5 separate regions of the Mus musculus genome follow, and regions 2, 3, 4 and 5 are each reported to be linked to region 1. Evidence: microRNA targets listed by miRTarBase, many of them from high-throughput screens and not tested one by one. Region 1 holds a microRNA gene; each other region holds the end of a gene's coding sequence.
Evidence for each region. The annotated mature microRNA mmu-miR-5101 reads UUUGUUUGUUUUGCUGAUGCAG and lies in region 1 at 1,614-1,635, opposite strand. An mRNA with a match to its seed (bases 2 to 7 or 8) in the 3' UTR can be bound and repressed. Matches are read on the target gene's strand: a 7mer-m8 pairs with bases 2 to 8, a 7mer-A1 pairs with bases 2 to 7 and ends in A, and an 8mer does both.

Region 1 (4,710 bases):
TCTAAGTATCTGATAAACTAACAAAGGTTCTTAGATTCATCTGATTAATAGAGGCCATACCACTCTGGTAATGGTTTCAATAGAGGCAATATTGCCTTGATACTTGATATTTAATATCAAGGCCAAGAATTTCCTAAGTCATCTAGGGCAAATATGTAATACTGGCACAGTGTCTATGTGATAGATGCTACCAAGTCTCCTGTAAAATTCAAAGTCTCTTTTAAGATCTCTGGAAGCCCAGAGTATCTCAGCAGAGTCACATTCAAGACGGCAACTTTCCCCAGGTTTATGTACATTTTAATATCAGACCCTGAAAGACAGAAGAACTATTGAAAACCAATGGTATGAGCTTATAGGACCAACCCAGGTGACAGGGAGACGAGGGAACTTTCTAAGTCTAAGGTGCTCTCTGTGCACTCCTATACTCCCTGCATTTCTTCCATACCAAGAGCCTACTGTCCACAAAGTAATTCTGCTCCATTCAGAGTGAAAGGCTGTCTTGGTCCACTTTCAACTACAAAAGCGAGTGACAGAAACACATGCTATTTCCTAGCTGGCATACAAAAATAATAGTTGCACTGACATTCCTTCCACACATCTGATATTAAAATATACATAACTCAGAAAATGCCATCTTGAACATACAATCCCGAACCTCTGCCATGATGCCAGAGATCTTGTTAGAGCTTTTTAACTCTGGCGTGGTCTCAGCAGCATTTATCTCCTAGAACCCATGCTGCTACTAAGTTGTGGAACTAGAAACTAGATGACTTAAATTGGGACGTGTTAAATAATTCTTGGCCTAGAGACTAAGGAAAACCATCATGAAGGTGGTATTAGCCTCTATTGATCAAATGAATCTGGGACCCTCTGTAGGAGGGAAATTCAGAAAAGATGTAGGGGAAAAAGGTTTTAACTAAATGGAAAATTGTAATTCTTAAAAACAGTGATTTAGGTAGGCATGGTAGGACATGCCTGTAATCCTATCAGAAAGGAAGTCCCATGAAAACAGGAGAGTCTTGACTCTGAAGCCAGCCTAGATCATATAGCCAAGAACCTGTCTCCAGGTTCTTGATAGAGTGATCCAAAAAAAAAAAAAAGCTGTATTATTATGTAAACGTGTGTGTGTGTGTGTGTGTGTGTGTGTGTGTACAATTCAAAGGAAATACTCTCTGACAATTACATTAGGAAAAAACTAAGTTCTTCCCAAATTCTTGAAGAATTTTCTAGAAGATATGTTTACTCCTTTGTTGACACTCAACTTTTGGACTCAAAATGGGCTTCCAAACAAAAAGAAATAGAAAAGTTCATTCTAGCTGGACATGGTAATGCATGCCTTTAATCCCTAACTTGAATGGTGTATGTATGTAGTCAGTCTCCAAAAATAAAATGTAAAACTGGGATAGAACCATTGACTTCAAATACCTCTTTAATTTGTTCCTTCTTTGTCAAGTCAAAAGAAGCCTTTAGTAGGGCGAGATCTTCCTCGAAAGTTGCCCAAGACATCAGTGCTCTTTGCAGTGTGGCCTTCGTGTTATGGATGTATTGTCTGCACGAGTGAACATTCTTTTCCAGCATCATATACTCCTCTCTAATACTCTCACATTCTCTGGCTGCATCAGCAAAACAAACAAAAACAACAAGTCTTACAAAACGGTTTTTGTTTGTAACTGATACTAAGAAAATTATTTGCATTAACCAACAAGCATGTTGCCTAACAATATTAAAAGCAAAAGAAAGGAAAGCAGGGATGAAAACAGTTAATGTCCAAACCATCAAAGTAAAACAATACTCATCTTGAAATGATAGCTGACCCATTAAAAAGCAACTAGGATACTTTACCCGAGTTCTTATACATTTCTTCACATTTTTGAAAAGAAGCATCAAGTTGAATTAGGAACTTTTTTTCTCCAGTAAATTTCTGTGAAGGAGAGGCAAAAAAATGTTGACAGATTTTACTTTTGAAAATGTGCCAAGAAATCCAGATGTCAGTATGTGATGTCAGTAAAGGGCAAGGTTGCCAGCAATGTTTGAGTATTCAATACCACCACACTGCAGCAGCAGAAATGGAAGGAATGGTTCAGGAAGGGTGGCTAGGACTTAGGAGATGCAAGAGCACAATGACACAGGGCTATCACAGCAGATTCACCTTAACATAGCCATGTGACTTTACACTGCGTCCAGCTGATGGGAAAAAGCAAGTTTATCAGTCATAGCAGATCCAAGCCTTCCAGCTCGTCCGTCTTAGTAACATTGTGTAACTGTGTCAATAGCTTAGGCTTCCCAGGCCTTATTCACACTAATTAGTAAGTCTTCATTAGCTACATTAGGTTACTTTTTCAGAAGCTATCCCCACCTGCACAAAGAAGGCTGTGAAACTATCATTAACTAATTCAGCTGTGGAAAATCCTGGGGCTAACTCAGAGCCGACTCTAAACCGCCTGTTTATTATATTAGCGGTTCTCAACCTGTGGGTTGCATAAGACCATCAGAGAACAGATATTTACATTACAATTCATAACAGTAGCAAAATAACAGTTATGAAGTAGCAACAAATAGTTTTATGATTGGGGGTCACCAAACGTAAGGAACTGTATTAAAGTGTTACACCATTAGGAACGTTAAGAACCACTGATTATATTCTTATTTTGTGCTAGCTAACTACTATGATTACTGAACCAGTGAAATGTAAATCCAAAGCTGGGCATGATGGCACACTCCTGTAATCTAACACTTACAGGAGAATCGGGAGTTCAAGACCAACCTCATTACATATGACCCTATCTCAAAGTACAAATGAACAAACAAAAGCCCAGAAAAAAAAAACAAAACAAAACTTCAGAGAAGACAAAAAGTTATATGTAGTACTGTTCTCCATGTTTTATATATAAATAAAACCTAGCCCAGTTTAGAATGATGCCTCCAATTTGGAAGAGCATAATATTTAAATGATCAATTATAAACAGATATGTATGTCTTCATCATCCTCTTCCATTTCCTTGAAACTTATAATTTTGAGTTTTTCAAGTCTCCCCACCCTCCCTTCCCATAAAGAAGGCGCCCCATGGGGTTTCCATCTGAATTTCTGCATGGACACACCTATGCTTGTAAGGACACGCCTATGCTTTTGGTTTTTGTGACGGGTTTTTCTTTGAAGCATTTAAGCCATTTCCTACTCAAACTTGGGTGAAGGGCAGCCAAGAAGGCACCACAGTGCATAAGGCACTTGCCACCAAGCCTGGAGGACTGCATTCGGTCCCTGGGACCCACGTGACAGAAGGGAAGAATTGACTCCCACAGGATGTCCTCTGACCTCCACACGCATCCGTGGCAAGCACCAAAGTAACTGAAACTATATTTTTTTAAATTTCAAAATAAAACTTGAGGGGCGGGGGCTGGAGAGATGGCTCAGTGGGTAAGAGCACTGACTGCTCTTCTGAAGGTCCTGAGTTCAAATCTCAGCAACCACATGGCTCACAACCATCCGTAATGAGATCTGATGCGCTCTTCTGGTGCATCTGAAGACAGCTAGGGTATACTTAGATATTATAATAATAAAAAAAGAAAAGAAAAAAAACTTGAGGGGCTAAGACCAAAGTTTTCAAAGAAAAGAGAACCGTTGAATGGAAGCATAAATTGAAAAAAAGAACAAAAGTAAGCAAAACTTTGTAATGGGAAAAGACCACAACGGAGCCTTCTTTATGGCCCTAACCATCCTAACTCCATCTTGACCAAGGCAATCCTCATCTTCTTACTCGTTCTCTAGCAGCTATTTGACCACCACTGATGGTTTTCTCCAGGGAAACTGAAGCTAACGAGGCCTACCAACAAACACCCAAGCCCAGAAAGGGAGAATCCCTGAGCTAATCCAGACAGCAGGAGAGGGAAGCAGACGCCCAGCCCGCAGCCGCTCACATGCCAGTCTTCCAGCAGGACTTCCACAGACTCCTTGCTCTCATAAGTGCCGTTCCAGACATCCAACTTGGCCTTCGCTTCATCAAGCAAAGCCAGAACTGAGCACTTAGAGTCATGAAACTCCAGGAGTGGGATGAAGTTTTTACCCAAAACGTTGTTGATTCTGGAAAACAAACAGGTTTTAGAATTGACCAAGTGTCAGAAATCTGTTTGGCATTTAAAGAAATCCTGTGATTTAATTTTTCTATTCAAACACATGAAACTCAAATGTATCTTCAAGAGTGTCCCCAGCCCTGTGCTGTGTGTGTGTGTGTGTGTGTGTGTGTGTGTGTCTTTGTGTGTCTGTGTCTGTGTCCTTCCATCCTCTCTTCTCCTTTTAAAGTCATGTGAAACAAATGCTCTGGCAAGATATAAAGCAACATTTCTAAGGTAAAAATGTAACAGAACATTTTCTGAAGAAATTATTCTCTTATTGAGAAATCCTGTTAAGAACACCCTAGAAATTTAGTTTTTAAATCTTAGGGTTTAAAAACTTCTGTATAATCTGATGCAGCTACAATTGTTTAAAGCTTACATATGAAGCCAGTTTCAGTATTAAGGCTAACATTGTCTTGTTATTGCCATAAGCTACTTATGAGTAAAGAAAAACTAGAAGACAATGTGGACAACAGTCAGTTAAATGACTTTTCTACTAATAATGTATTTTTTAAAGATTTTATGTTATTATTCATCGATGTGTATATGGGATGTGTGTGTGTGTGTGTGGGGTGTCTATCTGTCTATTTGTGTGGATGC
Region 2 (4,710 bases), not on the chromosome of region 1:
CCACATCTGTATTCATAACAGTTAATTATTTGTACAAATGTAGGAGTAACCTCAAAGGAGTTTTGACTTCTCAAGACCAGTTAGCTGGCTAACATTTAATATTCAAGGATAACTTGTATATATATTTTGAATAGATATTGCTTCCTGAGCCTAAAGAATATATATATATTCTTTTGTATGTATTCATGTGGGTGTATGTGCTGTGATTTACATATGAAGGTCAGAAGACAACTTTGTGGAGTCTGATTTGATCTCTCCTTCAACCTTAACTACAGGCTGTCAGACTTGCTTGGCAAGTGCTTCATACCCAGTATGCGTCCTGGGATAGAGGAGTGAACCCAGACTTTGGGCAACTGATGCTCTTTGCTTCTCTAATTCTTTTTTTTGTTTGTTTGTTTTTTTTTTTTTGTTTTTTTCGAGACAGGGTTTCTCTGTATAGCCCTGGCTGTCCTGGAACTCACTTTGTAGACCAGGCTGGCCTCGAACTCAGAAATCCGCCTGCCTCTGCTTCCCGAGTGCTGGGATTAAAGACCCTTTAGGTAAAAAATATATTTAAGCAATGGAGAAACCAAGTGAGTACAGTAATATAAAAACTTGATAGCTGTGGCCTTTCAAAATGTGAAAGAAAAACAAATTTACTTAAGATTGAAATTTTTAAAGAAGCTTTAAGGAGTAGGTAACAATTATGATAGGTTGGTAAGACTTCCTTGATAGTACCTTTTATTAGTTGTATGGAGCTCAGTACATAGTCTGTTGTTCATTTAAGATAAAAGTTCACAAATATAGTATATAGTGCCATATGAGCCACATTGTATTATACTCCAGAAGAAAAAAAATTACATGCTATATCAATGTATTTTAAAATTTCAGATAAAGAATTTTCACTGTAGGTACAAAATTACAGGTACTTGTTTGTTTTTGCTTTTGTTTTTTACTAAGTTTAAAACATCATGTTTAATTGTAAATATTCCTAAGTATATTTTGATTTATGTTTCAACAATGTCTTCTTACACTTACTTAGTCTCTGTTTATTGACATTCATATAAAAGAGCACACAGTCCAACTGCAACTAAGAACAATGATCTCTAAACTTGTTAAGCTACTGTAGTAATTTATACAATTAACAAGACAAAAATCAGAGCAAGTGATGGCTTACTTGATTTTAGTATAATTAAGACAGTAAGGTCAAAAAACTTCTATGAAGCAGAAAATACACATTTAAAAATAAACATTTTGGTTTTTGCTTACAATTTTACTTCTTTATGATTAATACAGGCAACATGGTTCTTAGTATCTTTTTACTTTTGTCTATAAAAATAAAATCTTTTAACATTCCTAAGTTATTCGATTTTCCAGCAAAGCTACTATGACCATTTTAAATGGCAGTGAGTAACTGAGTAAGAATTCAAAAAGTCAGTGGCACAAATTCCATACATACAAGATGATGTAACAGATACAGTGTTAAGTAAGCAGTTAAGAACACAGTACAGTATCAGCTGTATCTAAGAGGTAGGATTCTTAGTCACAGTCTTTCAGAAGAGACGCAGTGGACTCTGCTTTATCAGTTAGGATAGCTGTCTAGAGCTTGCTTCTCTTGCACTTAAAGTAGGGAAGAGAGTTTTTTTAGGCAACGATCTCATTGGCCTCTTTTCTGCATCTATTGTAGGAGCTTGGTTAGAAGCCTAGGGCATTTTTCTTGGTCAGTTATTGATCACATATAGTATTTATCTCACATTTTGAAAAGCCTCTGGATAGGGAAAAATAAATTTCTAGTTTCCTCCCAAGGGCCTGAGAAAGAGGAAACTATATTTTTGAACTATTCTGAGTATAAATTGTAAATGAAATCAGTATTTCTCTGGGTATCATAATTTTGTGTGTGAGGTAGCAGGGTAGTGCAAGATCATTAATACGTAATAAGAATTCCAGCAAAAAAAAATATGTGTATGTTTATATGGGTTCAATACCCAGATCTGACTATTGACTATCTCTACTTGACAATACATTTATTATAAACACTACAAGTGAGTGTAACTTAAATTCTGTTTCATGATAAACCTAAATCACTAGTACTTGAATAAAATTGTACTACAGACTGATAAACCAGAAAGGCAGAATGTTTTTGTATACATTGGCTTTTATTTCTACATTAGGTGTTTATAATTTGGGATTGTTCTAAGCCAATAAATGACCAGAGGTAATTTTGTGAGAGCTATAATAAAAACTGTAATAAATATGCATACCTAGTGCTAAGTCTTATGGTAGGAATATACATTTCACAAAATCTATCTGAACATTTATAATAAAAACAGTAATTAGAATAAAAAGCTATGACAAATACAATTTCTTCTGGGGAATTTTAGATTACCCTCCTTTGATCTGATCTTTATTATAATTGGGTTAGCAAGAAGAGCCCACCTGATTCTAGATGTTACACTTCTCTAGGTAAACTTGTTGGATCTGGTGTCATATTTATCTCATTTTTTTCCTTCATGTTTCTGATGGTTTTGAGAATTTAGAAAGGAGCTGTTTATTTACACTGATGTCAGATCTTTTCATTAGTATGTCCCTCACACCTGCTTGTGATAATGCATTATCAATACCAACTTAACACTGCTGATGCGTAATATAAAAATAAGTTCATCTTATCTCTAATTTAATCTTAGCTAACGTCTAGACAGAATGCATCTCAGTCACAAACATCAACTACCCTTTATATACCTTATATCAAAGACAAAGACACTGTCTAATTTTTATAAAGAAAGAATCCCTTTCCAGTTTTAATTATAAAAATGTTAGGTTTTGGAAGTATAGACTAAGTATATAAAAACTAATACTTGTGGATAATATTTCACATTATATTTGGTTGTAAAAATGATAGGAGTATTTTTTCAGTGGTATGCTTGTATTTACTTTTTTTGGAGAGATTTAGTAGAGAAAAGCTGATCTATTCAGTCCATGATTATATAATTATCAAATGATTTCTTCTTTTTTTCTTTTCTTTCTTCTTTTTTTTTTTTTTTTTGTTTATTTTTATTTTTATTTTTGTTTTTTCAAGACAGGGTTTCTCTGTATAGCCCTGGCTGTCCTGGAACTCACTTTGTAGACCAGGCTGGCCTCGAACTCAGAAATCCACCTGCCTCTGCCTCCCAAGTGCTGGGATTAAAGGCGTGCGCCACCACTGCCCGGCCATCAAATGATTTCTAATGTAAGGTATTGGAAACTTCTTTAACTTGTACCTGCCACATATACAGAGAAAATTCTAGGTAAAAGCAAACTGGTGGCATGTTTATGAACATTGTTAATTCATTTAATTCATATATGATATCTGGGAAAGATTTTTAACTTTAGGAAAATAGTTATTATGGCTTCATTCAATTAAATCTAAATTTTACATGACATCTTGTTTCATACTTAAGTATAAAACAAGTCAATAAAGTTATCTGGACATAATGATTTTCCTTTCATAATAAATTTTACATTATCTTACACTTACATACATTTCTAAAAATGTTATGGGAAATATGACTAATATCTTGACTGTGTAACAGTGTATTAGAATTTTCTACCTCTTTTTTTCAATGTTAAATAATCTGTGTTGGAGTTTTAAGTTCTACTTTTCCTCTTATCTTCAAATAGACTTTTCAGCGTATAAACTTGAATAGCTGACACCACCACCATGACCATCAAGTTAACCACAGACCAGAAATTGACTCTGTCAAAGTTGCTTTCTTGTATGTTTCGATCTCGAGCTTCAAATGCTCTAAGTAGAGTTTGTATGTGGCCACTTTTGCTTAGTCTGGACTTGATGCTGTTGATGGATTCCTGGAGATGAATACAATAATTTTACTATTAAAAATACTAAGAACATGTTTAACAATATGCTTCATGCTAGTTCTTAAAATACAAGACAATTTTTTAAATAGATGGGAATACAATTCAATTAAAGGGCAGGTATGACTTGTATCATCTAAAGAGCCCCCATGAAGTTATAACATAGTAAGGATAAATTTAAATTTCTTTAACAGAGGAATAATTCTTTAACCAGAAATCGAAAAAACAAGATCAAAGTATTTGAGTAGCATAGCACAGGGCCTTTTTTTGTTTTGTTTTTGTTTCTTTCAAAATAGGGTTTTTCTTTTCTTTTTTTTTTAAAGAATTTTAATATATTTTATTTATATGAGTACACTGTAGCTGTCTTCAGACACACCTGAAGAGAGCATCGGATCCCATTACAGATGGTTGTGAGCCACCATGTGGTTGCTGGGAATTGGAACTCAGGATTCTGAAAGAGCAGTCAGTGCTCTTAACCATTGAGCCATCAATCCAGCTCAAAAACCAGATTTTTCTATGTAGCTGTGGCTGTCCTAGAAGTTGCTCTGTGGGCTAGGCTGGACTTGAACTCAGACAGATCTGCTTGCCTCTGCCTCCTGAATGCTGGAATTACAGGCATGTGCCACCACTGCCCGGCAGCAACAGGACTTTTATATATACTGTCTCTCTTGTAGTCCTGACAATTTTACCTAACACATTTTTGTGTCTATAATACTTTACTGTTTGAATGTTAGTTATGTCATCCAGGCAGCTTCAATGTAATTACACAGAGTCTGGAGTGATACAAGAGGCACAAGCCATGGATTGACAGCAACACCTGTAAGACTTTAGACCTGTGAAATTCACTTCAGATTTGTGAGACAATAAATCCATTTTGTT
Region 3 (4,710 bases), not on the chromosome of region 1:
CCTACGTGCAGACTCTGTGCAAGGGGCTGTCACAGCCCACCACGAATCTGGTGGCCGGCTGCCTGCAGCTAAACTCTCGTAACTTCCTCACGGAGCAGGGCGCGGACGGCGCCGGCCGCTTTCACGGCTCGGGTGGCCCGTTCGCCATGCATCCGTACCCATACCCGTGCTCCCGCCTGGCAGGCGCACAGTGTCAGGCGGCTGGCGGCCTGGGCGGAGGCGCGGCGCACGCCCTGCGGACCCACGGCTACTGCGCCGCCTACGAGACGCTGTACGCGGCGGCCGGTGGCGGCGGCGCTAGCCCGGACTACAACAGCTCCGAGTACGAGGGTCCACTCAGTCCCCCGCTCTGTCTCAACGGCAACTTCTCGCTCAAGCAGGACTCGTCCCCCGATCACGAGAAGAGCTACCACTACTCTATGCACTACTCGGCGCTGCCCGGCTCACGGCCCACGGGCCACGGGCTGGTCTTCGGCTCGTCGGCCGTGCGCGGGGGCGTCCACTCCGAGAATCTCTTGTCTTACGATATGCACCTTCACCACGATCGGGGCCCCATGTACGAGGAGCTCAACGCATTTTTCCATAACTGAGACCTCGCGCCGACCCCTTTCTTTTTCTTTGCCTTTGTCCGGCCCCTTAGCCCCAGCCCCACGAGCTCAGGGGCTCCCACCGACTCCAGAGCCGGGCGCTCGAGCGCGGGCCGCCGGTTCTGCAGCTCTCCAGAGCGGCGTGCTCTCTTACCTGTGGGTGGCCCGTCCCAGGGGCCTCGCTTGCCTCTGGGGACTCGCCTTCTCTCTCTCCCCAGCGGGCTTCCTCCTCCCTTCTCTCGTGGAGAGCATCTCTGGGGATCTCCCGCCAGGCCCTCCCAAGAGACTTCCTCCACATTCCCAAACTTGGGTTTTCTCTCCCCACCTCCCAACAGGCCAGAGGCAGTTGGTAAGGGGCTGCTGAGTCTCGGGATAGTGTCTCCCCCACTTATAGTTACTTTAAAAAAACAAAAACAAAACAGACACAGAGCTTCCCAGGCCGAAAAGAGTTGGTATCTCTTCCTTCTCGAAGAGGCCACAGCCAGGGAGCCCAAACGCCTTCACCCTAACACGAATCTCCGCGTTTTTTATTTTTTATTTTGGTGGGAGGGGATGTGGATTGAGAGGAAAGAGAGAGGCCAAGCCAATTTGTAACTAGAACCATTTTTCCTTTTCCCTTTTTAAAGAAAACAAACAAACATACAAAAGGAAAAAAAAAAAAGAAAGAAAGAAAGAAAAAGGAAAAAATACTGAGAGGCAACGGAGGCCGAACTCAGAGTCCGGATCGGAGAGAAAACGCATTAAGAACTTTTAGAAGCAATAAAAGGCAAATAATAATAATAAAAAATACTACCAATAATAATTTTTAAAAAGACACAAATATCTATGCAAGGAGGTTCTGACTGAGCCTAGCAGCCTGACCTGGGTGCTCCTCGGGTCTGCTGGCTGCCCCGCCCACGCGCGGATCTGTGCACTTTGGTGAAGTGGGGGCCCGCGCCGCCCCTCCCCCCCCCCAGTTTCTTACAATCAATGACTCGGAGATTTGGAACCCCAGTGCCACTGCCCTCCTCCCGCCCTGCCCCGTTGTGCGTCATACTGTTTTCTAAAAACCTGTTTCCAAATTTGTATGGAATGGCAAACTGTTAGGGGGGGTCGGTTTGGGGAGGGAGGGTTTGCATGAGAGACACCACACACGCACACACACGCGCGCGCGCGAACACGCACACACACACACACACACACACACACACACACACACCACACCGCACGCACACGCAGGCCCCGGGCGTCCGGGGACAGAAGGAGCTGTCTACTGGTACCTCCTCTCTATAGGCACTCTGGTCCGTCCCCTCTTGGGGTAAGGTGGAGGAGCCCAGACCTGGGAACAGCCTTACCCTTGTCCAGACTGTGCCTCCGTGGGCGCCAAGCTCCTGGTGATTTCTGGTGGCTAGAGAGGGTTGTTTTGGGTTTTTGTTTGTTTGTTTGTTGGGGGGGTTGTTGTTGCTTTTGTTTTTTGTTTTGTTTTGTGTTTCGGTTCTAGGCTCCTCCTGACTTTTGTCATCCAGTGAGCTGGGAGAACTGAGGGCTCCTCTGGAGGTTCCCCTCGCAAGAGGCAACAGGTGAAGCTCCCCCCCCACCGGAGGCAGGGAACCAGGCACCCAAACACACGATGCAAAAAACGCAAACCCACAGGCGACACACCCCACACACGCAATTTTACCTTCCTCTTGTAGCGAAGATGAAACTCCTGTCGGACACCCGAAGTGCATTGCGTGTTTCTGTTGAGTTTAATGACGATTAATAAATATTTATGTAAATGAGATGCAAAGCAGACCCGCTTTCTCACAGTGGCCTCCTTTTATGGGTGGGGGCAAGGACTGATCTGGGGCTGGAGTGATTGAGGCTATGTCGAGTGAATGACTGCTCAGAAGCTCAAGAAAATAACTGAGGGCTTTCCTGGGTGGGGTTTCCACACTGCAAGACCTACACACACACACACACACACACACACACACACTCACTCACTCACCACAGTGGGCTCATGAACAGTCACACTCACTCGCTGCCCCTCCTAGGCCCCACCCAGATTTACATAGGCACCCAGCACAAAGCACCCCTGCATTCTACTTGCATCCATCCAGCTCCCCCAAACACCTAAGGATTTTCTCTGAAAACAAAACATCTTTCCATCAATGAACAGTTATCAAAGCGGGACCATCCCACCATTTTACAACCCTTGACTTACTGTTACAAAAGCCAGAGGAGTGGAAATAAAGAGAACCTTTGGGGGGCAGACATGGATATTCTTGAAGAGAGAGAGAGAGAGAGAGATCATGAGGATAAAATATTAATGGAAACAATCACCTTTCTATCTTAAACTTCTGTTTCAGTGGGTTCAAAGGAATGGACCCTGGACATTTTGGGGATGTGAATAAAGTTGGATGCTGAATCTGAAGGGGGCCCCTGGTTAAGGACACGAGCAAAAGGGGCAGCACTGATTAATGCCTGCACAGTCTGTTTTTCTGTTGCAGTTCTAGAAAAGGGGGACCTTGATGGAAAGCACTCAGGAGGACCACTTTCACTTGTACCTCATCATTTTGTTCCCCATAACCCCTAGAGGCAGAGACAGCTTGGCCAAAGGCTTTCCAGAAAAGATGCCTCCTCCCTCCTTAGACCCCAGTGCCTATCAGAGCTCTGAAAAATTTGAAAGGGAGTCTGGGTCCTAAAAACTTGCATCCTAGAACCTGAGGAGACCTAAGGATTCCCCCCGACCCTGAAGAACCTTCCCTTGGTGCCTTTACCCGTCTCAAAACACGATCATTTTAGGATTAAAGTGAGGTTGAATGTAATATTGTTCAGGGTTGAGGTCAGATATGCTAATGGCTCTTAGGTCCATGACCCAAAATGAGATCTTCCTAACAGAAGCAGGGAAGAGAAAGGAGGGAGTCTGGATGCCAAAAAGGAAGCAGACTAGCGGCAACTGAGCCCAGCGGCTCCACTGAGTTCCCACACCTAAAAACAACCTCTTGTGGCCTCTATGCAGTTGCAGGCTGAGGGACTCCGGGAGCTGTCCACTCCTAGGTGCTGACCCGTATTTAACATTTTTCCTTCTGGCTGCCGAGGGAGACTACCGCCTGGGACTAGGGAGCAGAGCCCATCGAGTTCTCCTGCAGGCAGACTTCCTAGGAGACATTCACTGTTAAGCCTTTTAAAATGTTTGCCGAGTTCTCTGGGCTTCTCTCAGGACCACCTCTCCAGAGTGAGAGTGAGCCCTTTGTCATTGGGATTCTTCCCCGTGGGTGGCTAATGAGATCTAACAGATCTCTGAATGACTTTTATTCTTGAGAGAAAGATTTTGGTGCATCTTCTCTATCCTCCACTTCTGTGGGGGAGTTGAGAAGCTTGCAAGATACACATTCTGACCCTAACCCAAGGAACCGGTCTGCTCCAGGTGCTGGGCAGGGCCTGGCAGGGACACTTGGAAGAAAAGGAATTGGGCATCGTCCCAAGATGTGGCTCTTATTCTGCCCTGGAAACAAGGTTAATAATTGGGCTTCTCTCCCACTCAGCTGGTTTCCCAGAACTTGCTCTGAACTCCAAGCTGGGCAGGATCCAGGTGGCTTGGGGCCGGATGTAAAGGACCCCTCCACGTGGCTCCCTGGCTAGATCACAGACTCTCCTACATAGCTCTTTCAGTTACCGCACACTGTTCTGCTCTGTTCTGAAGTCAGTTTACAGCTTCTTGGAAAGGTAGTGACTCTTGGGCCATGGCATCTATAGGTCAGGCCATGTGGGGACTCAAAGACCCTTTTAGGGGCAGGGACACTGGAGCCCTTGCTTCTAATGAATCCTGCCAGCAGCCCAACTCCAATCCCTGACCTTCCCCCAGACTCCCTGCACTCTGGCTGACTCTAGCCTCCCGCCACAGCCCTCCTCCCCAACACCACACTTAACTGCCCTGGTGAGATGGTAAGATGAGCAGGAGAAGAAGATATGCACGGACACTGGGCCCCAGACGCCCCCTCACAGATCTCTTTCTCTCGCTTGGCTTGCCTGAACACACATCCTGAGAAGCTCTACGAACAGAAGTGGGAAGTGGGGGGGGGGGGGGTTAGGGAGAGAGGGTGCTGGCGGTAGGGTGCTGGACAGAGGCAGAAAGTGCAAAGAGGGTTCCTTTCTTTCC
Region 4 (4,710 bases), not on the chromosome of region 1:
ATTTCCTTTGCAAACCTTACTAAAGCAGCTTTTAAGACTCTTTCCTGAGGGAGAGGAAGGACAAAAGGAACCAGAGGGGTCAAGGACACCACAGGAAAACCCAAAGAATCAACTAACTTAGGCTCACAGGGGCTCAGAGAAACAGAACTGACAACTAGGGAGCCTGCATGAGTCTGACCTAGGTATGTGTTATAGTTGTAAAGCTTGGTCTTCTTGTAGAACTCCTAACAGTGGGAGCAGGGGCTATCTCTGACTCTCTTGATCTTTTTCCTACTACTGAATTGCCTTGTTCAGCCTTAATTCGAGGGGAGGTGTCTAGTCTTATTTGACATGCTCTTTGGTTGATATCCATGGAAGGCCTGCCCTTTTCTGAAGAGAAATGGAGGGGTAGGTGGGGGAAATGCAGGGAGAGAGTGGGGGAGAGGAAACTGTGGTCAGGATGTAATATATGAGAAAATGAATTTAAAAACACCTTCAGCCAGGCTCATGCCTTTAATCCCAGCACTTAGGAAGCATAGGCAGGTTGATCTCTGTGATTGAGGCCAGGCTAGTCTGCAGAGTGAGTTAAAGGACAGCTGGAGCTACACAGAGAGACCCTGTCTCAAAACAGCAACAAAACAAAACAACAACAAACAACAACAAATAGACAAAAAAAAAAAAAACCCCAACCAACCAAACAACAAACCTCTGTCCCTTTTCTCAGCCAATGTCTCTTGCTTTTCAGGAGAGAAATATGAGCTGCACGCTGGAACTGAGTCTACACCGAGCGTCGTGGTGCATGTGTGTGACAGCGACATGGAGGAGGAGGAGGACCCAAAGACTTCCCCAAAGCCAAAAATCATCCAGACCCGGCGTCCCGGCCTGCCACCCTCCGTGTCCAACTGAGCACGTCCATGATAACATGCATCTCCTCTTATCATGCTTCCCGCCCCCCCCCTTGTTGTTTGTCCAAACAATTAATTGCCTTTAAGTCCCTGGGTGTTTGGTTGTTTGCGAATCCTTCCTTGTAATTAAGCCTCTCGGACAAAAGGGCTAGGCAAAGGTGATATGTCTCCCAATCAACTCCTACCCATTAACTACAATCCATCACTTAGAAAGTTCTAGATAGAGGGTAGTATTTTCTTATTAAATAATCAGTACAGCCCATATCTCTGTTCTTTCATGTTGATCCAAGCCAGAGACATCGGTAATGAAGAGCCTTTATGTTGTTTGTGAGCTGCTCCAGTTCAGTCCTGTGTGTGTGTGTGTGTGTGTGTGTGTGTGTGTGTGTGTGATGTTTTTTTCCTGGCCACTTATATAGGACCATAAGTAAACTTGGCTTTGACTGCATGAGATCCCCCTATCTGGTCTCACCCAGTCCTCTGCATCCCGACATTCCCAGGACATGCACGATCACCAGCATTGATTTTGATGATTTTGAGGGTATGCCCCAACTTGTGGTATCCCAGCCCTGTCCTGTATAGACAAGGGGCATCCGCAGCACCATTCAGCTCAATAAGTCTGGGAATCATTATTAGTTTGAGTCAATTACATCATATAACTCTGGCCAAATTCCTGGAGGTAAAATTGAGCATGGCCCCAAAGATGTTGAACATCACTACCACAGAGGTCTACCCAGTGTTACTGGGGAGGCTTGTCCAAGTGACAGAGACCGATTTCAGACAAACCTATTTATTATAAAATCTCATAGTGTCTGAATGACTGTCCCCTACCCCTTTGTATATTTGTACAGATGTTTGAGCTGTGCTTTTAAAATCTGGATGTTTTTTATTTAGTGATTGTTCAACCATTAGCTGCTTAATGACATCATACCTGTGTTGCTTCTGAATGCATTCTGATTCTAATGTAGATAACCTGATACTATTACATGCTATTGCGGTTCGTGCTAAGTTGTAAAAGGGAACAGCAATGTCTCATGCCAATAGATAACTGACTAGCCAACCTTTGCTGTCCAAACCACCTGTTTCCAAACAAAGATCCAAGTATCAGTTATAAGCAACTTGGGTGACGCTAAATCCAAGAAATGTATACAGCTGAGCATTTCAGAGCACAAAGGATGATGGGTAAACGGATGCCCTTCCCATTCATCCAATGCCCATGCGCTCAAAAGTTCCTTGTTTTTGTTATGTGTGACTTTTGTATATCTCTAGCCCAAAGTGCATTACAGAAGATACACCTGCAGAACCATACTTTCTGCTCCATGTGTCAAGCCTCATCTATTCCTGTTCATTAACTAGTAACTTTGGATGCAAATACCATTTACCACACAACAGGCAAGGACTTTCATGGCCTAAGCCTCGGAGTAACACACAAGAACACTAACACAGCCACCTGATGGGGGGATAATTGTGGTTTTTTGATTAAGGTGTATGTTAGTTTCCGCAGAAACTTCAAACCTAGACTGATCATTCAGAAAATTAAAAGTCCGTTCTACTGTGAAATATAGCAATATAGTGCCGGACACGGTACAGTACGATTGAGACCGAGGACAGTATTGCTTGTGGAATCCTAAGTTTCCATGGGGAAAACAAGTCGTCTTTTCAAAATCAGATCTGAGGAGTGTACACAGTAAGCAAAGGCTTTGACTTTCCTTTGTTGTGGAAGGTTTTGTTTTCTTTTTTTTAAATTGGCCATGGAAAGACTAGAAATAGTGGCGAGATGATGCCCTCTCGTGGCAGAAACAGTGAAATCGGTTGTATAGATGGATTGATTACAACAGTCAACTACCAGGGGCTGACCTTCTAATCCACATTAACTTTCAGGATGCAGGAGAGAGAGAGAGAGAGAGAGAGAGAGAGAGAGAGAGAGAGAGAGAGAGAAACAAAATGAAAGTCTGGGAAATAATTTGCGCTTCCAAACAATGATAGCAGAAATGTCTAATTTAGTAAAAGTTGAGTGTGACTACCTTGCATAGTCCTTAAGAACTCAGTGTTCTAGACGGCCCAGATGATTAGTCTTAGTAAACTGTATTGCCATCTGTTGACGTTAACCTGCTACAGATCAAGGGGTTCTCGCGCTAGATTGAGCATGGGGACGGGGGAGGGGGAGCTTTCCCCAGAAGGAATGGGGAAGCCACGGGACCTCCCAGCATCGAGAAAGTCACCTGGACACTTCCATGATGCTCATTATGCAAACCTCTTTAGCGCTCTTTTAAGTTTGAAACGTTTTTAAATGGAGGGGAAGGGGAAGGTTTCCACCAACTGAATCATTTGTGCACGTGTACAGCTCAAAGAGCTTAGAGTTCAAATATATCTGGTGAATGACTGTCTGTGTGGCATCATTTCTGACTTGTCTGCCTGGACTAAGGATCCCTGAGGCTGGGGAGGTGGGGGAGTGCAAGCCAGCTTGGAGTTTTCTGAAGGGTAACCAACGTATGGAGCTAACCCAATGATATTCTTCCTAATGAACTAGGAGGGAAGCTGGTAATAGCATTCCCATGAAGAAGTTATTTAAGCCAAGCCTGGAAAGATGGGTTGGCTTCTCATTAAGGGGGCTCAGAAGGTTATTTTACTGTCAAGTTCAACCATACTGATTCCAAAAGGCATTTCAAGTGTGCTAAGAACACCTTTTTAAAAATTAGATATTTTCTTCATTTGCATCCCAAATGCTATCCCGAAAGTCCTCTATACCTCCCCCCCCACCCTGCTCCCCAACCCACCCACTCCCACTTCCTGGCCCTGGCATTCCCCTGCACGGGGGCATATAAAGTTTGCAAGACCAAGGGGCCTCTCTTCCCAATGATGGCCGACTAGGCCATCTTCTGCTACATATGAAGCTAGAGCCACGAGCTCTGGGTGTACTGGCTATTCATATTGTTGTTCCACCTATGGGGTTGCAGACCCCTTCAGCTCCTTGGGTACTTTCTCTAGCTCCTCCATTGGGGTCCCTGTGTTCAGGACTAAGAACATTTTTTAACACCTTCCCACTATGTTCTTTAAAAACACTAACAGGAAGCCCTCTGATAGAGAGCCCTTAAACAATAAAAGAAATGCTCGTGAAATATAAAAGGTTTGCTTTCTGGAAATCATTAAGGTTAGAGCCGATACACATGGAGGAGTTAAATAACTCACAGCCAAGCAATGGTTCTCAACCTCTCTAACACTGCGACCCTTTAATACATGTCTTCATGTCTTGGTGACACCTAACCATAAAATTATTTTCATTGTTACTTCCTAAGTGTAATTTTGCTACTGTTATGAATCATAATATAAATATCTGTATTTTTCCAATGTTCTTTAGGGGGTCAAAACCCACAAGTTGAGAATTGCTGCTCTAAAAGCCAGTTGTAAAAGACATACAATACTTTCTTTTTGATGATTAACCTACATCGGGCAATTCACATAGATCCATGTGCCTTAACTATCTGAAGGCCCATAAACAGTCAAAGGTGCTCCACCTCACCTCTTGTCAGTCAAGAAGAAACCTCAAAGGTGAACATACCTGGCCTCTAGCAGCAGTGAAGTGTGCAGAACTAGGGAGTCCTGGGAAGGCAGCAGAAGAGGCCCGCATGAAGAAGACACAGTGATCATCTGAGAATGCTTGGGCAGTAGCTAACAGCACCATGGGCATGCCTGGCTAAAGCTCTTGCACTCTGAAGCACATAGAGGAAAGCTCTCATATCAATATAAAAATATGTACAAGGCCCAGAGAAGAGTGACCAGGAGCTATTAACGTTATACAACTCATATGTCCTTCAAGTGTTGAATGCAT
Region 5 (4,710 bases), not on the chromosome of region 1:
TTAGCATAGCTTTAAGGCAATACTAATTGAAAAAGGCAATAATAAGTATTCCAGCACAGGGGAAAGCAGCATTTCCCTCCTGACTTGTAGAAGCACAGCGGATGAATTGGACTCAGCAGCTTTGGCCAGGTATGGTGGCCACTGAAAGATCAATGCATTTGTCCAAGTTAACCACATAAAAGATCTTTACGGACCAAAAGAGGCAGTACTGCCCCTTGCAGCAGCCTGATGCCCTGTATCCGTCGGAGAACCCACAGAAGTACAACAGCATGCATGGCTTTGAACACATCGGAGTCTGCCCCACTTCCATGTTTAAACCCAGTTTATGTGCAGCAGCATGACATTAGAGGAATTGGCTGCTGACCATGGCTAGAGAACTTACAGCCCTGTCGCTTATCTTGCATGTTGCTATGCTTTGCTGGCAGCAGCGGGGGTGGGGGTGGGTGGGGTGGGGCGGGAGGAGAGGGAGAGGGGGAGGGATTATAATGGAACCTATTGCGTTTCACCGCGTTAAATTTTATCCTTTTCTACTTAGTATGTTTTAGGACTGGTTTTTGGTTTTCAGTTTGCAGGTTTTTGAATAGCAAGCATGTGTTTTCAGCTAGACTCTTGGGTGGGTGTATATCTGTCAGTGAGAGAAAGAGCTGTTTGGAGAATTTACAGATGTAGGCTGGGGGTGCCTTTGTTTGAGGCTGAGTCGGAGTTGGGATTTGTGGGGAAGGTGTACAGTGCTTATTAACTGGCTCTTCTCTCTGTCCCCACATTGCCTCCGCAGATGTTCCAGCCCATCATTCTGCTTATCCTCATCCTCGTCTTGTTCTCGTCCCTGTCTTACACCACAATATTTAAACTTGTCTTCCTTTTTACACTGTTTTTTGTACTGTAAATTTTCCATCGTTTGCTGTCCGTTGTAGTGTTTTCAGTTGTTTTTATTTTGTCCACCCTTCAAGACAAGACATAAAAGAAGTATCATTTCTGTAGTAGCTGATGCTGTAAACAAAAAAAAAAAAAAAAAAAAAACACTGAAGACTGCACATCTCTGTAAAAAAAGACACAACTCATCTTACACTGTCAAATTCACTAGGAAACCCCAGCGACCAAAGTGTTTCAGGTAAGGAAAAGTGAGTTATCAGAGTTCTGTGGAGCTCGTCTTTCTCTGCCTTTCTTTATACCTTTCTTTGTTTTGCACTCTTGAGTCATAGTTGACTGGCTGACTGTGAAAAATGGACAAAGTCTCATAATTATTCTGTAGGAATTGAGTATTATTTTACACCTGGAAAATTTCAGCTGGTTGCATTTTCAAATTCATGTAGAGGCATTAATTATAAGTCAATGTAGATGATTTATAAATTATCTCTGTTATAAATTATGTAGATTTGTAAGCATGCTGTTACTCATGTTAGACAAAAAGGAAAACATCAATGTCTAATAAATATCTGTTGAAAATATGAAATGAGAAAATGTAGCTCTCTTGGAAAGTAAATAATGTTCTGACCCTGACATGGTCTGTCTCCAGAGATGTGTTTGGAAGCATGAATCTAAATCTAAAGACCTTTCGGTTTAATAAGAAACTAAATAGTCCCCTCCTATTGAATTTTCCCCACTTTTCACTAACCCAGCTATCTCCACTTCTGTATTACATGTGAAGCCATGTATCACTGACTGACCATGTTGCTTGCAGTCCTTTCTTTTCTATGATTAACTACCACAGAGAACTCCCTTCTTTGCAGAAAACCTTCTAGAAACAATATGAAAAACAGCTTGAGAAGGGAAATAAATACAATGTCCAGAATTTCCTTGAGTTACAATCCATACCCGAAGCATCATCCCAGTAGAAGCCACTCTGCAGACCTAAACTTACTTTGGTGACCCCTAGCGTCCCTGTCTTGTATATATCTAAAGCCACCTGGTTGGACTCTATGTACTGAAGGTTCTATTCTGCCCATCTTGTTGGTAATTTACCCACCGTAATCCCAGAGTACATCAGAATTCCAGCACTGGTCTGAGATGCATTTATCCTAATACTGGGGAAGGTAAGACAAATGGACTGTGAATTTGAGGTCAGCCTAAGCTATCTAGCCAGACCTCAAGTAAAAAGAATAAGAAAAATCATATTCTTCTTAGTTCACGAATTAGTCTTTACAAAAACCTGTGATAAAATGATGTATCTGTACAACAGGAAACAGATCCTGTGGAAAAGTTTGCCAGCTAAAAAGTGTGCAGGTAGGCCTTTGGAATCCCCGGAATTTCATCTGCAGGAAAGTGTTTTATTTCATTTCCCTGCAGATCCACTTTTTCTTTAAATATTAAATTTAGGAATGTTTTGCAGGGAAATGGTTCAGTAGGTAAGAGAACTTGCTATGCAAGCATGAGGACTGGAGTTCAAATCCCCAGGAGATCACACACAAAGAGCTGTGTGTGGCTATGCGTTGGGGCTGGGCATGCAGCAACAAGGCCAGAAGGAGGAACATATTAGAGGAGGACATTCAAGATCTTCCTCTGGCCTACACAAGTGTTTGTACTTGCATACATTGCATATGCATGCAGTATATACATATACCATATATTACATACACACACACAAACACATGCATATACTACATGCATATACACTACCTACTACACACACACCACATATACAAACACACCACATACTATGTGCACACACATACCACCTACTACACACACAAGACATAACACACATACCAAATAACACACATACCACACATGCACACTATACATACATATACATAACGTCCCCTTTTGACCTTCATAAATGCATGTACCTACATATTCACATGCATGCAGTACCTCCATATGTGCACATACACACCACAAACAACATCCTTCTCTGTCTTTCACTAGATACCCATACTATGTGTGTGTGTGTATGCTCACATATATATATATAGTAACTGTATATACACACATACACACCCACCACATAACACTACAACACACTATACATACAAATCACAACATATAGTACACACAACACACACACTTCACATCCATACACATAGTATCCCCTTCTGACCTTCATAAGTGTATGTACCTGCACACTCGGATGCATGCAGTAGACACACACACACACACACACACACACACACACACACACACACACACACATACACAAAAACACACATTTAAATTTAGAAAGTTTCACAGCAGTTGAAAAGTTTAATTTAACTGCTCTTAATGTCCATTATCTTTTCTATGCTTGGGATTTTCTTTTTACTTTGTTTATTTAATTTTAATTATTTTGGAGGTCAGGGAGGAAAAGTATTGTCTAGTGAATAGTTACCAGCACTTGGAATCAGTCAATAAATAGATTTTGTTTGATTGGATGTTTTCTCTTTGGTTTTTCAGTGTTAGTAATGGAACCCAGAATCTTGTATATGCCAGGCAAATGCTCTACCTTAGAACTATATGTCCAGCCACATTTGGCTTTTAATCTTGAAATTCAAAAGACTAAGGATTAGGTAGGCTTTCAGAAGAAAAGAGGAAACAAGGGAGAAATATTCTGAATTTGATCAAATTGGTGGCACAAGTCTATAGTCAAAACAGATGGGAAACTGAAGAAGGAATCCATGGCAAGTTTGAAGCCAGCTTGGGTTACAGTTAGAAACTGATTCAAAACCAACCAGTCATGTAACAACAACAACAACAACACACACACACACACCTTAAAAAGTCAAACCTGTCTGCTAGATTTTTTTTTCCATTTTTTATTAGGTATTTAGCTCATTTATGTTTCCAATGCTATACCAAAAGTCCCCCATAGCCACCCACCCCCACTCCCCTACCCACCCACTCCCCTTTTTTGGCCCTGGCGTTCCCCTGTACTGGGGCATATAAAGTTTGCGTGTCCAATGGGCCTCTCTTTCCAGTGATGGCCGCCTAGGCCATCTTTTGATACATATGCAGCTAGAGTCAAGAGCTCCGGGGTACTGGTTAGTTCATAATGTTGTTCCACCTATAGGGTTGCAGATCCCTTTAGCTTCTTGGGTACTTTCTCTAGCTCCTTCATTGGGGGCCATGTGATCCATCCAATAGCCAACTGTGAGCATCCACTTCTATGTTTGCTAGGCCCAGGCATACTCTGACAAGAGACAGCTATATCAGGGTCCTTTCAGCATAATCTTGCTAGTGTATGCAATGGTGTCAGCATTTGGAAGCTGATTATGGGATGGATCCCCGGATATGGCAGTCTCTACATGGTCCATCTTTTTATCTCAGCTCCAAACTTTGTCTCTGTACCTCCTTCCAAGGGTGTTTTGTTTCCACTTCTAAGGAGGGGCATAGTGTCCACACTTCAGTCTTCATTTTTCTTGAGTTTCATGTGTTTAGGAAATTGTATCTTATATCTTGGATATCCTAGGTTTTGGGCTAATATCCACTTATCAGTGAGTACATATTGTGTGAGTTCCTTTGTGAATGTGTTACCTCACTCAGGATGATGCCCTCCAGGTCCATCCATTTGGCTAGGAATTTCATAAATTCATTCTTTTTAATAGCTGAGTAGTACTCCATTGTGTAGATGTACCACATTTTCTGTATCCATTCCTCTGTTGAGGGGCATCTGGGTTCCTTCCAGCTTCTGGCTATTATAAATAAGGCTGCTATGAACATAGCGGAGCATGTGTCCTTCTTACCAGTTGGGGCATCTTCTGGATATATGCCCAGGAGAGGTATTGCTGGATCCTCCGG

Region 2: the mRNA of Tmed5 is a reported target of mmu-miR-5101. Seed matches in the 3' UTR shown: 7mer-A1 at 3,042-3,048, 7mer-A1 at 3,020-3,026, 7mer-A1 at 924-930, 7mer-A1 at 912-918 and 7mer-m8 at 909-915.
Region 3: miRTarBase lists Neurod2 as a target of mmu-miR-5101. Seed matches in the 3' UTR shown: 7mer-A1 at 993-999, 7mer-A1 at 999-1,005, 7mer-A1 at 1,215-1,221 and 8mer at 1,218-1,225.
Region 4: the mRNA of Rcan2 is a reported target of mmu-miR-5101. Seed matches in the 3' UTR shown: 7mer-m8 at 950-956, 8mer at 1,968-1,975, 7mer-A1 at 2,819-2,825 and 7mer-m8 at 2,855-2,861.
Region 5: the mRNA of Soga3 is a reported target of mmu-miR-5101. Seed matches in the 3' UTR shown: 7mer-A1 at 995-1,001.

Annotation. Positions count from the first base shown.
Region 1 is chr12:75,906,079-75,910,788 of GRCm38, reverse strand. It overlaps Mir5101 (microRNA 5101), which reads right to left and starts at 1,686; the gene lies at 1,604-1,686. Syne2 (spectrin repeat containing, nuclear envelope 2) reads right to left here. Exons shown (of 116, transcript NM_001005510.2): 14 at 3,916-4,078; 15 at 1,843-1,921; 16 at 1,426-1,613.
Region 2 is chr5:108,120,938-108,125,647 of GRCm38, forward strand. It overlaps Tmed5 (transmembrane p24 trafficking protein 5), which reads right to left. Exons shown (of 4, transcript NM_028876.3): 4 at 619-3,822. The coding sequence ends at 3,604. Among named protein-coding and RNA genes, the nearest start is that of Tmed5, 9.3 kb to the right of the region's middle.
Region 3 is chr11:98,323,065-98,327,774 of GRCm38, reverse strand. Neurod2 (neurogenic differentiation 2) reads left to right here. Exons shown (of 2, transcript NM_010895.3): 2 at 1-2,358. The coding sequence ends at 590. Among named protein-coding and RNA genes, the nearest start is that of Neurod2, 4.2 kb to the left of the region's middle.
Region 4 is chr17:44,036,249-44,040,958 of GRCm38, forward strand. Rcan2 (regulator of calcineurin 2) reads left to right here. Exons shown (of 5, transcript NM_207649.1): 5 at 725-3,268. The coding sequence ends at 885. Among named protein-coding and RNA genes, the nearest start is that of Gm34857, 5.1 kb to the right of the region's middle.
Region 5 is chr10:29,198,170-29,202,879 of GRCm38, forward strand. It overlaps Soga3 (SOGA family member 3), which reads left to right. Exons shown (of 7, transcript NM_026138.2): 7 at 776-1,461. The coding sequence ends at 886. It also overlaps a transcript of 9330159F19Rik not described here. Among named protein-coding and RNA genes, the nearest start is that of 9330159F19Rik, 11 kb to the right of the region's middle.